Notamacropus eugenii: one gene and its partner. Each later gene encodes a partner of the first gene's protein in a complex. Links are inferred from orthologs where the notes say so. Each region holds a gene or a part of one and is shown on either strand. Other genes may lie near its edges.

Evidence for each region. Proteins that work in one complex are often made in the same cells at the same time.
Region 2: SMARCC2 (region 1) and SMARCD3 share a complex: the UniProt entries of both Homo sapiens proteins name them as parts of the BAF complex. The link is inferred for Notamacropus eugenii from reciprocal best matches to the Homo sapiens genes SMARCC2 and SMARCD3.

Annotation. Positions count from the first base shown.
Region 1 is NC_092874.1:231,452,444-231,459,574, forward strand, and holds the start of SMARCC2 (SWI/SNF complex subunit SMARCC2), read right to left. Parts: upstream 3,079-7,131; 5' UTR 3,040-3,078; coding exon 2,929-3,039; intron 494-2,928; coding exon 374-493; intron 22-373; coding exon 1-21. UniProt on the Homo sapiens protein: Involved in transcriptional activation and repression of select genes by chromatin remodeling (alteration of DNA-nucleosome topology).
Region 2 is NC_092874.1:94,747,170-94,754,164, reverse strand, and holds the start of SMARCD3 (SWI/SNF-related matrix-associated actin-dependent regulator of chromatin subfamily D member 3), read right to left. Parts: upstream 3,093-6,995; 5' UTR 2,994-3,092; intron 1-2,993. UniProt on the Homo sapiens protein: Involved in transcriptional activation and repression of select genes by chromatin remodeling (alteration of DNA-nucleosome topology).

The sequences.
Region 1 (7,131 bases):
GAAATCTAGGAAACATTTGATCTGCAAAACCAGAAGTGGCATGTGGAAGCAGCAGCTGAAGAGGGAGTGGTAAAAGCGACCTACTCCCTCCCCCCTTATCATTTCACTTCAGAAAGCAAAGTACAGCAATAATATCTGCTCCTAAGCTGAGGGCATTTCTTCAACTATTTTATCCTTCTGACAAATCCCTAGACAGGGGTAGAGTAGCCTAGGGGGTAAAGTGACAGATCTGGTAATATCTGGAGACAGCCTCACTGGGCTAAGCCAGCAATACTCTAAGGTTGGCTGGGGAAGGAGAGATACAGTACTTAAATAGTCTAGGTCCTTCCCCAGGTTGTTGGGATACCCACCTGCCTTGGCCCTGTAGACTCACCGGAAGCTTGGTAAGTGGTGCGTTGCTCACATGTTTGCCAAATACCTCCTCCTGGAACTGTAGCAACTGTACCACTAGGCTAGATAAGGACTTGTTGGTGGGTGGCTCAGCTTGGATGTACTAGGAGGAGAGGGAGAAAGGGAATAATGAAGACTCCCATTATATCTCCCACAAGCCCCAAGCTTGAGAGAAAGGCCCCTAGAAAGGTAGTAAGGTCAAGTGGAGACATTCTAGAAGCCTCTCTCCTCAGACAACGGCTAGAAACTATGTGTGAAAAGAAGGCAGACAAGAGGCACCTTCACCTAGTTCTAAGGGCAGCAGAAAGAGCTCCAGGAGGTAAAAATTCTTCTGCCAGCAAATAACTGAAGCAGTTTAGTACTGAGTGCCCAAGAGGGAAGAATTTCCTTCTCTTTCTTGAGCTTCACTCTGTAATGTGAGCTGCCAGGACCCTCTTATCTTGATGCCACAACAGTACTCTGGGTCATAAAAGCCTCAGGCTTTATGGAATCCAGCCTATGTGGAGGTGATGGGAGAGAAGGAGGCTCTTCAGGACTCACTGAACAGAATAAGGTTGTCCACTAACTTGTGGGAACATTTTTGGGGGAGAGGGAGAGAAGAAAATCTTGGCAAATTGGTCATTAAGAAAGACAGGCCAAATAGAACTGCTACAGGATATTTGTGGAGGGGCCTTTGGTTTATAATAGATCCTCTAGAAGATAATAATAACATAAGGAAGACCGTACTCACATGCTGCCTAATAGAGAAATGGCAGGCAAAAAGCTCTACTATCCCTGAATAAACTAGGCTGGATACAAGCCCTGGTAAGAAGGCAGGTACCCTGATCGCTGTAGGCTGTTCAAAACAATTCTGGACTTTTTCCAGACATCCCCATATAATACTTCTCTCCAAGAATTCATGTTAAACTGAACCTCTAGGATTTCTTTTAACCCTTTGACCCCAGTTTCCTCCACCCCAATCACAGAGGACAACATCCCTCTCAGAGGGAGGCAGGGAAAATAGCTTCTGGGAAAGGAGAGGTCACAGGAGGGAAAAGTAAATGACAAAAGCCCAGGAGTATAAAAGCCACACCAGATCACGGGCAATCAATTCATCCCAGAATCCACTTACTAAGCCCCCAGTTTATTCTCCCTCCCAAAGGTCAGAGCTAGTAACTGCCTGGAAATCAGAGCCCCATGCTGAGTACAGACAAGCAACAGATGGAGCAGCTGACTGTCAGGATTCTGACACCTGGAGAGACCCCAGAGAACAAGGTTAGCTTGTATCCAAATGTATCTGGAACCTGAGGAAAGGGGCTTCACAGACCAGAGCTCTCCCAACAGTACCACCACTTACAACCTCCAACAGGAAACAAGGATGGGTAGGGAGAATCTGAAAGCCAGAAAACCAAGAAGGAAAAAAGATACAAAACTTGTCTTCCTCCTTGTAAGAAAGAGTGGGGAAGAGTGAAAAGGAGCAGATTCTTCCCGGAGAATCTGATTATGGGGAGAGAACACAACATAGGTGGATGCTGCCCTTTTATCAGCCTTCCAGACAAAGGACATAACCAGGAAAGGCCCGTAGAAGGGGGGGATCACGTTCCACAGACCTTTTGTTCACTCCCTTACCCCCCCAGTCTTGGGTAAAAAGGTTGGGACTGGGCTCCACACTGGGACCTCAAGTCAAGGGAGGCCCAAAGTGGGGACTTCACTGTAAATGCTGAGACACTGTTTGAGACCCACCATCCCCTGTCCTCTGGCCTCCCCTCGGATGGAGGCAGGCTAGACAGGTAAGAGCACGGAGATCCTCCCCAGGCCAAGAGCAGGAGGGAGGCCTTCCCGGTGGGTGTCTGCCCCGCTGCTTTTCCTCATTCCCTTCTCCCAATACTCTACACACACAAAGCCTCGGGGAGGCCTCAACTCCCGCCCCCACCCCCAGCCCTTGGGCACCGGGGCTGGCCCGGGGGAGTACCCAGTCGGCTTCTTCCTCCTCCCTCTCCCTGGCTGGCTCCTGCCCTTCTTGAGAATTTTCAAATGAACCACAAAGAGGAAGATGATGGTATTACTACTATTTTCATAGCGCTTCATGGTTCGCAAAGCGCTTTGCATGTGTGATCTCAGTGGATGGTGGTGACGGGAGACTCATGGAACCAGGGACATTGGATGGGGGGGTGACCGGGGGAAGGGGAGGCAATCAAACAAATAGAAGAACACATGGGGGGAGAACGTGAGGAGTAAGGGGGGGACAGCGGGGAGGGGGTAAAGGTCGCGGGGGGGAGGGGGGCCTGGGGAGCGGCGGGGCAGGGAAGGGACGGGGTATCGGGAGAGGGCACAGTGGGGAAGGGGGCAGGAGGAGGAAGACAGCGGGGGAGGGGACAGCGGGCAGAGGCGGCCGGGGCCCGGCCCGACTGCTCGAGGGTGGCCCGCAGCATGTGGGGATCGCGGGGACCCCACGGAAGGGGGCGGCAGCGGCGGGGGGGGTCCAAGCGGCGCCCTTTGTGGCGCCCGGGGCCCCGGCCCGGCCCGGCCCGGCCCGGCGCGCTGTGCTCAGGCCCGTACCTTCTTGTAGTTCTTGCCGAGCCACAGCCTCACGTTATCAAACTGGGTCACGGTGTCTGCGGCCTCGTAGTACTTCACGTTGGGGCCGCCATCCTTCTTCCGCACCGCCATCTTCTCCTGGCTCCCCCCCCCAGCTGCCGCCGCCGCCGCCACCGTCGCCGCCACCGCCCGCCCCGCTCCCTCGCCTCGCCTCCTCCTCCGCCCGCCGCCCGCAGCCGCCTGGGCCCAACGCAGCGCCCCCTGCCGGGCCCGGCCAGAGTGGTGAAGGCCCGCGGGAGGGAAGGGGGAGTGACGGGGGGGGGTCAGTGAGGGGAGGAGGACTGACTGGGGGGGGGGGCCAGTGAGGGGAGAGGGGAGCGATGGGGGGGTCAGTGCGGGGAGGGGGGAGTAGTGGGGGGGTCAGTGCGGGGAGGGGGGAGTAGTGGGGGGTCAGTGCGGGGAGGGGGACTGACGGGGGGGTCAGTGCGGGGAGGGGGGAGTAGTGGGGGGGTCAGTGCGGGGAGGGGGGAGTAGTGGGGGGTCAGTGCGGGGAGGGGGGAGTAGTGGGGGGTCAGTGCGGGGAGGGGGGAGTAGTGGGGGGGTCAGTGCGGGGAGGGGGACTGACGGGGGGGTCAGTGCGGGGAGGGGGGAGTAGTGGGGGGTCAGTGTGGGGAGGGGGACTGACCGGGGGGGTCAGTGAGGGGGCACTCATGGGGGGGTTGTCAGGGGAGGGGAGCCTGACAGTTCAGTGAAGGGCGGGGGAGTCACAGCGGGGGTCACTGGAGGGCGGGAGGAATGACAGCGGATTGAGGCGGGATGACAAGGGGAGTGACTGGGGGGATCGGTGTAGTACGGAAGGAGTGACGGAGGGGATCAGTAAAGGCTGGAGGAGTAATGGGGGTGTCAGTGAGGGAAGGGGGGTGATGATAGAGGGGTCAATGAGGGACTGGGAGAGGAGAGAATGACCCGGAAATAAGGGACGGGGGCGGTGATTGAGGGAGGTCTTTGGGGGGCAGGGGAGATCGTCGAAGGTGACAGAGGAGTGGGAGGGGTCGGGCCCCCCGTGAAGAGAAAGCCATTCTCCCTTCTCCCGGAAGCCCCCTCGGGGGCTCCAGCCCCTGCACACCATTGCCCCCTCTCTCCGAGCTGATCCCGGCCCCGCCCTTTCCTGGGGGGATTCCGAGCCTTCTCTCCCAAACTTCGGTGAGGAGCCACGGAGAGAGGGGGTGAAGGGGCATCTGCACCGAGAATTAGAGGGAGAAATTTGTCTGTCGGCCCGCAGCCTTTTCCACGCTGCTGCGACCCTTCCTATAAGCGCGCGGCAAAAGCTCAGCCCGGGAGTCACGGTGGCCGAGTGGTTAAGGCGTTGGACTCGAAATCCAATGGGGTTTCCCCGCACAGGTTCGAATCCTGTTCGTGACGGCCGCTGCTTTTTTTTTTTTTTTTTATTTTTTTTTCCCTTGCCCAAGAAAAGGGAGGCTCCAACCTAATTCATACAGAGTAGGTTCCGGTTGGGAAAAAAAGGCTCAGCACCTGGATTTTCGGGGTGTAGAGGGCACAGCCCGGGGGAGAACTGCTCGAGTCTCCGTCCCGCTAGCCCTTTCACTTCTGGGTCCGCCTGCTCTTGTTCGTTTTTATTCGTTTTTTGGAGGGGGCGGCAGGGCTGTGATTAGTTAGAGGTTAGATTGAATGGGAGGCAGAGACGTTTTTAGCAAAGATATAGAATGGCTGTGATGACATCCATCGCCTTCTGGGAGTGTAGTGAGAGAGACGAGAGCGAGGGGTGCTGAAGGGTGACCCCCAGTCCGGGCGCGCCTGCACGTCTTAAGTGGGGTGCTAGCATGAGGCTGATGTGCTGGTAGGGAAATTCCTTGGACAAGGCTGGAGCTAGACAGACGGAAGCCTGAGACGGGAGCCGATGTGGCGCCGAGGGAACGTCGGCGTCTGGGAGCCGGCAGGTCCTCGGTTCAAGTCCCGACGGTTGACGGTTAGGCCTGACTGTTTCCTAATCTGCCCACGTGGGGTTAATTACTCTACGTTACCTTTGTTAGCTGCGGTGGGGGGTGGGGCGTAAGGAAACTTACCAGACGGGTAATTGACGTTTGTAGTTACGCGGAGTTCTGGTCGGTCCGTGCATCTTGAGTCTGGTGCGCAGCAGTAATCAGTTACTTGTGTGTTCCGCACCTGATTGACATATGTACATAGAGTATCTTTGTTATTTTTCCCTTTTTTGTGAAACTCTGGATGCCAGCCCGATTTTTACTAGTTGGTCTCCAGGGTTCCGGGGTGAGCTAAAGAGCTGGGCAGTGTCTGTCGCTCGGAACTGAACTTGGTTCAGCTGCAGACGAGGTCCGGAGCCGAGGGCTGCCTGGGGGGCGACGGGAGGGCCGCCGGACCCGGAGCCCTGGTGAGTCCGGCGGTGTTCCGACTTGGGGATCCAGGCTCCCGTAAGTCCCTCGGCTTCCAGTTAGTTAAGTTTGGGAGTTCAGGGGAACGTCCCCACTGTGACGGTAAAATCTTCCGACTCGGAACTGAAGAGGTCCGCTTTCTTTTTCTCGAACTCCAGTTGGATTTCAGACTTTTTACCCGGAAGACTGACGAAATGGCTGCATTCTTCCCAGGGTTTAGAATTTTGCAGTCCCTTTCAAGAATCAGCTGGGGTACATGGCCTCTGGATGTACACAGCAGCCGACCATCAGATAAAATAGCAGCACTGGAGAGAGCAAAGGATGATGAAAGTAGCATCCCAGTTATTAACAACAAATACACACCAACGATACACCCGATAGACGTAGCTCAAAAACGCAAAACATCACTTGACAAGCTACTTTATTGACTACAGGTTTAAATTACACGTAGAACATAGTATATGCAGTATCACAGCAATACATGGGTATCCATGGGACACAAGCCAATATTCAAATACCAAAATCAAAGGAGAAATGACATTGGTGGGTCTACAAATAAGATTTGAAGAAAAAGAAACATAACTAAACGTACAGTAAAGCTGAATAGTTAGGCAAATGCAACTACAATAAATGCCTGATATATATGAATAAATAAACACAAGAAAAATAACGTAATACATGCTGTAAATGATATGCATCAATGAATTTAGAATGAAATTACATACAAAGTACATATTATATGCATAAACATTATCATCACCTGGCTATATATGTTGTATCCATTTAACATCTTTCACCTGATACATCTTAGTTAGCATGCTCATTGGTCAGAGAGTTGTAGCTCTTCTACTGAACTAACTGCTCCTATCCCTAGACTAACACCTTTTCAGGACTTTTCAGGGCTGCTTATCTACCTTCGGTGTCCATCTGATTCACCCAACTCTCACTTGTAGTTCCAAAAAGCTGTAGCAGGAGCAACAGCCAGAGCCCCATAATACCATCTTGGCAGATGGGCTAAACCAGGTCAAGGGTACCCGACAGGCTTCAGACTGGTCAGTGAGTGAGGGAGATGTCTACCCCAAGTATGTGAAGACTTCCCCTGGTAGAATGGGCAAATGAGAACAATTTGTTCCAACAACCATGAAGACAGCTGATGCAGGCGATGTGGAATGCCAACATCATCCACAGCAAACCAGACCATTGCCAGTCATCTTGACTTCTGTCCTGCCGCTGGATTTCTAATGAATCTGGAAGAGAGAGGCTGATGACTTTGCACAATTCTGCCTCATTTTAATTCACATCCAAGTCAAGACATCCTCTTCAAAATGAAGGAAGAACAACATCTGTTTCTTTCCTTGGGCTATATTGATTGCGTGGTTGAATCATAAATCCTCATCATGACTATAGTCCTGCTCTCCTAAATCTCAACTGGTCCAGCCTGGCTACCTGGGTTACTACATTCTGTCAGGACATGTAGAAACCAGAGCAGTCTCTACAGTTAGAGTGCTAGATAGGAAAGCTATTGCCTCTGAGTTTAAACCTTTTCTATCATTTGAATGGGATTTTGTAGAATATTCTTTACTTGAAATGAGTTTCTGGATCTTTGAGTCTTTATGACTAGAAAGTTATTTCTTCCGTGTATCATCCACTGAAATGAATGTCCAACACTTTTTGTCTGCCTTTCAGAAAATCCAAATAACTCACCTACTGGTGATAAATGGTTACAGTGGATTGCTTTGCAGGATCATTGCCAGTCTCTGGAACCATTCTGTACACAAAACAATATGACCAGTCTCTCTACTCCTAGGTATAGGGT
Region 2 (6,995 bases), about 140 Mb from region 1:
GGACTTTACGCCTGGACTCCAAATCCAGTACTCTTTTTGCCAAACAACAGTTGTTTTCTGTAGTGTAGGCTGAAACATAGCTAAGGTCAATGAATGGAGATGGACAGGGGGAAGAAGAGTAAAAAGTAGGATATGAGAGAGGGAAGGAAGCAGGTCACAGAGAGAAGAAAGGACGGCAAGAAAAGGAAGCAGGGAATGGGGCTGGCAGACAGGGGTAATGACTCCTGGTGTCAGTCTAAGGCAGCAGGCAGGCCAGAGGTGCCCGAGGGGGAGTAGGCATCACAATAAAAGGTCACAAGTTGGAATAATATCCAAGAAGCACAAGGTTCCAAAACTGATATTAGCTTAAGTCTTGGCAGGACAAACACAGGGGCTGAATTGGGCACTGGGGCATTCACATGCTTAAGAGGCATGTAAGGTTCCGTTGTTGAAGATAGGCAGTACTGGAATGATAATGACAACAATGATCATGTTAATAATAACTAATCTCATACAAATCTACATCCATGCAGAGCATCACCAAAGCCCCAAGAGGTAGATACTACCGGAATTTTGGAGGCTGTGCCCCCACAGCGGGTAAGAGAAGGGTCATGAAAGGAGAGGACAGAGGTAGAAGCACTGAAAGGGAGATGGAGCCATTGTAAGGGGGACGGAGGCAGAAGCTGAGACAATTCATGGGGGATGGAGGCAGAGCCAGAACAGGAGACACTGAGGCAGAGGAAGAGTCAGGGGCAGTGGGGGAAGGTGACGAATGAGGAGAGAGCAAGGAGACAGAGCAAGTACAGAGGCAGGGAGAGACAGACAAGGTCTGCAGGAGGGACATGAAGGGGAATGGGGTAAGAGGCATCCTAAGTACAGGGTACGGGGGGAGGGGGGAGAGATGCAGAATCGGGGCCTGTGCAGGGAGGATGGAGTCAGGTAAATCAATCAAGGTAAAGGGGACAGCACAGAAAGGACAGGGTCAGACAGAGAGGCCAGGCCAGTGCAGGAAAGCCCGGGGCAGAGCCAGTGAGGGACAGGGTGAAGACAGGCAGGGCCAAAGGGAGTACAGGGTTGGGGGGGAGGTGCAGAACTAGGGACAGAGGCAGTCCAAGAGGTGGACAAAGGCAGAGGCAGTGTAGAGGGGGAGGAGGGGAGGGGGGAAGAGCCAGTAAAGGGAGAACAGAAGCAAAGGAAGTGGAAGGGAGGGAAGGAGCCAATGCAGGGAGGATGGGAACAGAGGCTGCTGTGCAGGAGGGACTTAGACATAGAGCGGGGTGGGGAGGGGGGGGAGGGAGCAAGAGGCAGAGGCAGGGCCAGTGCAGGAAGGATGGAGAAAGAAGCAGTGCAAAGAGGGGGCGGGGCAGAACCAGTGCAGGGGAAATTGATGGGGCCAGGTCAGGGGGGAATCTGTAAATCTAAGCCTCAATCTGTACAGGTAGCTTAGTGGTGATGGAGCAGAGGAGAAGGGCAGTACCGGGGACAGTCCTACTGAAAGAAGCCAGGTTTATAAGACGCTAATTTCTCAGTCTTGAAAGTCCCCTGTTAAGCTCACTGTCCACATAACCACAGTGAAAGTTGGTCATAGCTTCCAGCTTGGCTCTTTGGAGACAGATCTCCACAATCTTCCCAGTCACACCTGGACAGATTAAATGCTACTTCTTGCCCTTACCCTCCCTCCCCTACTTTGCATCTCAGGTTTACATTCACATCTGGTGACAAAAAAAGCCGCAGTCTTAAGGAGTTAGCCTTGCCCTGGTGGAAAATAAACAATATGGGGTAGTGAAAAGAGGACCTGCGGTACGATTTTAACTGTTAAGACCTTTGTGACGTTAGAGAAGTAATTCTGGCTTCAGTCTCTTATCTCTAACATGAAGGGGTTGAACTAAATGGTTTCTAAGATACTTTCTAGCTTCTAAATTCTAAGAATCTATCTATTTTTTAAGTGAAATTCTCAATAGTCTAACAGGCTTGCTTCTGGGGTCCTAGGCTAATCTTCATGGCTGAGTGTAAGAGGAGAGGATGCTCTATAGAGGGGGTCAGGCATAGGAGTCAGTGCCAGAGGTGTGTCTATATGGACATTCTAGATCATGGAGTAGTCATGACAGGTAGGGAAGGCAAGCAGAGGGGTGTTATCAGGGGAAGAATACCTGTGGATGGGTAGGATATATGTGTATGCTCGTGTGTGTGTCTGTGTCTGTGTGTATGTGTGTGAGAGAGAGACAGACAGACAGAGACAGAGAGAGAGACAGAGAGAGACAGAGAGAGACAGGGAGACCGACAGACAGACAGACAGAAAGAACAGGCTAGGTGATGTTAAGAAGCTAGGGTGTTGAGGGGGATATATTAGGTGGGGAGTGAACAGAATGGGCAAATAGGAAAGGGCTTAAGGGGTCAAAGATAAGGTATACCAGAGAAAGAGAATGTTGGGAGTGTGCCCAAGCTGTAAAAGGAAAAAGAGAGGTATTTTCAATAGGGAAAGGAGCCTTTTCAAGACTGAGGGGGAGGAGGAGAATGGGGGGAGAGAGATGTCAAGTGGGGGTGGAGTGTGTCAGAAAGGAAGAGGATGCCCCGTTCAGGACAAGAAGGATGCCATGAAGAGGGGCTAAGGGGATGCAAATTGGGGGAGAATGATACAGGGGTGGAAGAATGAAGGAGGAGATGCCAGGGGTGCGTATGTGCCAGGAGGGAGATACCAGTCTGGGAGGAGAGAGGGAGATGAGAAGATGCCAGGCAAGGAGGGGAGGGGCTGTGCCAGGAGGGAGATGCCAGTCCGGGAGGGGAGGGGTAGATGCAGGCAGGAAGGGGAGGGGGTGATGCCAGAAGGGAAGGCGATGCCAGTCCGGGAGGGAAGGGGGAGATGAGGAGATGCCAGGTCGGGAAAGGCGGGGGGAAATGCCGGGGGGAGGGGAGGGAGGGTGACAGGCAGAGAGGGGAGGCAGGGGAGACGCCAGTTGGGAGTGGGGGCTGCCAAGCAGGGGGGCTGCAGGGCCCGGGCCGCCCAGGTGGCTCACCTGCTCCCGGAGCTGCTCCGGTTCTGGCCCCGGGACTCCCAGCCCCGCGCTCTGGCCCCGGCCCCTCTCCCCGGCTTGGTGCTTGGGCTCGGGCTCGGCCAGCCCGGGCGCCTGCGCCGCTGCAACCCCGGAGCGGGGGAGGCGCAGGGAGCGTCTGAAAAGAGCGTGGAGCGTGCGGCGAGTTAGGGATCGGAGCAGGGAGCGGTGAGCTGCGGAGGGGAGCCCCCCCATCTCGTTCCTCCCAATGCATGGGGCACCGCGCGATCTTCAGGAGCCCCTGCCCAAGTCCATTTTGATGCACGCTCGCACTGATCCACACATGTCCATTTGCAGACAGTCACACAGGGGTCAGCCCCCAGACCAACACCCACCTAGACATAGACCCACTCTGACACGGGCATGCACACTGGCGGATTTACAGCCCCCAAGTCACCCGCAGTTCGTCATTTAGAAATACGTCTGGAGGAAGGAAAGTCCACCTTTGGGGCAGGACTTTAGGGTTGGGATTCTAGCAAGGGTCTAATCACCCCCGTCCACCTCCTGGGCCTGGTGTCTGTGTTGACTTATCAACCAAAAGAAGCCAGGTCTCTGTGGGGTCAGTGAGCTGACCTGGGCATCCTGAAATTATTTAGTGGATTATATTATTTCAGGAACCCATCTACGAAGAAGACAGGGCCCCAGACAGCTGGGAATGGGGCTGACCTTATGAGTAGGAGGTGAAGGCGGCATCCCACAATGATGGAGCTGCCGGCAGGAAACTGTATTAAGTAATTCATTTCTCTTTTCTGTGCCTCGGTTTCCTTGCCTATGTGACAGTAGCTGTCCTAAGGAGCACATAAGCCTGAGCCCTGGCCACCTATCATGCTCTATGGAATGGCTACTCTTACATTTCTACAGACAAGAGGTTGTCCAGATGATCTCTGGAGGTAACTTTCCAATTCTAATTTTCTATGAATCGAGAGCGTAGAGATTTTCAAAGCACTTGATTCCATGCAAGTCAATCACCTCTCCAAGCTTGTTTCCTCCTCTACAAAATGGGGGAAATAATTCTTGTGCTAGGTACCCATCTCCTAGGGGAGTTAAAGAGTAAACTGGGTAGCCAGTGCTGGTGAGGACCCCATGCAGACAGGCATGTGGCACAACTGTAAATTGCACCAACAGCTGCTATCAGCTCCATCTTCTCTCCCTTCCTTCTAATTGCAAAGTTGTTTCTGGTTCTCTGACCCAGAATTGCATGGCCTCCTACCTTCAGCAGGAGCACAGTGAGAATTTTTACAACTACTGCCCTTTTTGTCCTGAGAAGGGTACCCTTCTCCTTTTCTGAAGCTGGGCTGTCTCATTTTCTTCTCTCCTAAATGTGCGATGCCTACAGACTTTTCCATTTTCCAGTGTCCTTGGGAGACCACACACAGACCACCCATAAACAGTGATGATTTTTAAAGGCGCTTATTAAAAGAAACAAAGGGGGAGGAGGGGAATCTACTGCAATTAGAATGAAACAGCTTTATCTGTTCCTTAGTTACAAAATTGTTTCTAAATCTTTGCCCTACTTCTCTCCCTATACAAATAGAAACAGCAAATGACGAGTTGGAGTCCTTGGCTCTTGGCCATAGGATCTTGGGTAAATCACTGAATCTCTTGAAGCTACAGTTGCCTCATCTGTAAAATGGGGACAAGAATAAAAATTTACAGTAAGAGCAGGCACATTCTAAGTCCTCTTCAAACATTCTCTGATACTGTAATACCTTACTAAGTTGTTATGAAGATCAGAGAAGAATGCATGTGAAAGTGATTTGTAAACTGTTAAAAAAAAATACAAATGCAAGGAAATAAATTGTTTTTTTTGAACTCTGAGAGGGCTTGGTTCAATTCATACTAGAGAACTCCCAGAGTCTCTTGGCTGACTCTTGCCTTGAGTTCTTGTCCATCCGATAAACTACCTTTTAATTTTCCTTCATCATTTTCATTTCATCAGTTGCCTGAAGGAAAATGACTCTCCATCCTGACCTAAACCTGCCTGGTTCTAAGGTTCTCAACCTAGTCTTCCCTTCCCTGGAATGGGGTGTGACCCTACCGTTTCCTGTTCCTGTTACCAAAGGTTGCCTATCTCCTTGGTCTAGGAATTAAGCTCATTTACATCCACAGGCTGGGCTCCCCTTAATCTAGCCTACCCTGCTCAGGTTAACAGATTGGACGAATTTCCCAGGTGTGCCACAGTGACCTTATCCAACCAGGCATTTGTAAGGGTTTTCTTCAAGGTCCTTTCATTACATTCTTAGAATGAGATATTTTCAATACATAGCATCATAGAATCTAAGAATTGGAATACGTGTCAGAAGTTATCTGATCCGAATTGCCTCCTTCCTCGTACAGAATCTCTTATTTTGTGCCAGGAATTATCCTGTTCTCCTTGGATCAGTACTCACTGTGCCTGGCGCATAGCAGATGATTAATGTTTGTCAATCGACTTGGATTAGATATACTACCAGCATACTAATGACCTTAGAGTTTACTTAGTTCAACTTTCCACTCAAGGTGTGACTCCTCTCTACAACATTTCTAACAGAAGGTCCTTCTGCTCCTGCTTTAACACATTCATTAACAGAGTTCATTACATCACACAGCAGTCCATTCTACTTTCAAACAGCTCTAATTAGGAAATGACTTCTTATATAGAGATGCAATCTACCTTTCTGTATCTATAGTCCTTATTAAACTGGTAAGTAAAGAGCATTTTATCTCTTTACCATATCCATGTTAAAAAAAAACCCATTCCTTTCAAATGAGCATGAAAGCATAGAGTTAGAGCTAGTTCAACTCCTCATTTCACAGGTAAGGAAACTGAGGCCCAGAAATGCCACATCTTCATTTGCCAGAAATTCTCCAAGGCTATGTTAAGCCACAAAAGAAAGAAGAGGTAGGAATAAATAACACAGCCACATTTTGAGTATCTAAATATTGTGAACTGAAGCTTGGCACATTAGTAATTATGTCTTGCACAGGAGAGATATATAAAATAATTTAGTTGAAGATATATGTGACCAGAAAAGGGCTGGTTATAGAGTAAAATCAAGGGATAACAGATGACCAGCTTCATTGCTGCACTGCTGCACTGCTATGCAGGAAATATTAAAAGCATCAGAGAAATACTTTTAGTGCTTTGGGTATATTTTCTAAAGAGGATGTATGACATAATATCCCCTTCCAGGTTCATTCCCCTAGTCCACACAGGCACTGGCAGTTTAGATCCCCAAAGAGTGGCTGCTACTCTTGTCATAGTTCTAGGGGTAGTGTTTTGGGTGACTATTCTTAAACTGTAACACCATAACTCTCAAGCCCCCACCAGAGTGCTTCCCATTAATAAGCCATAAGACTCAGTTCTCATTAAAGGCATTTACTCAAACGGTATAGCAAGAACAGAAGTTACTAAACATTTCCCCTGGGAAACATGGGGCCTATTCTCCCACAGATATAAACAGAGTCTATGACAAGGTGGGGAGAGAATAATGGCTGAAAACTTAAAATGCAGTGGTAATGAGGTATGTATGTAAGAAACACATGACTAAGACAACTCACAACTTTGTAAAGTTTTGATCTATTTCCTTTCTATAAAGGGCTCTTAAGAAGGTCACTGCTGAGTGTTAAGTTGGTGATGGATAAGCTCCTTCCCTGCTTAGCGGGTTAACTGGACTGGCTTTTCGAAAAGCAAGGTAGCTCAGTTAGATATACAGCTCAATTGGTCTTGCTCCTCATAGGAAAGGGGTCAATATGTTGCTAAGCTGGATCAAACAGTTCACTCAGCTACTGAAGTGGCTCTTCACTGGACTTGGATGTTACTGGAATGGACCAGACAGACTACTCAGCCACTGGGATATTGCTAGACTGGGCCAGGAAGGCTACTCTCCTGCTGGGCAGGTAGCGCTGGACATGGCCAACAAGATACCCTGATATTGGACTGCTACTGCCAGAGTAGTCCAGGAAGATCTCTCAATCAATGGGTTA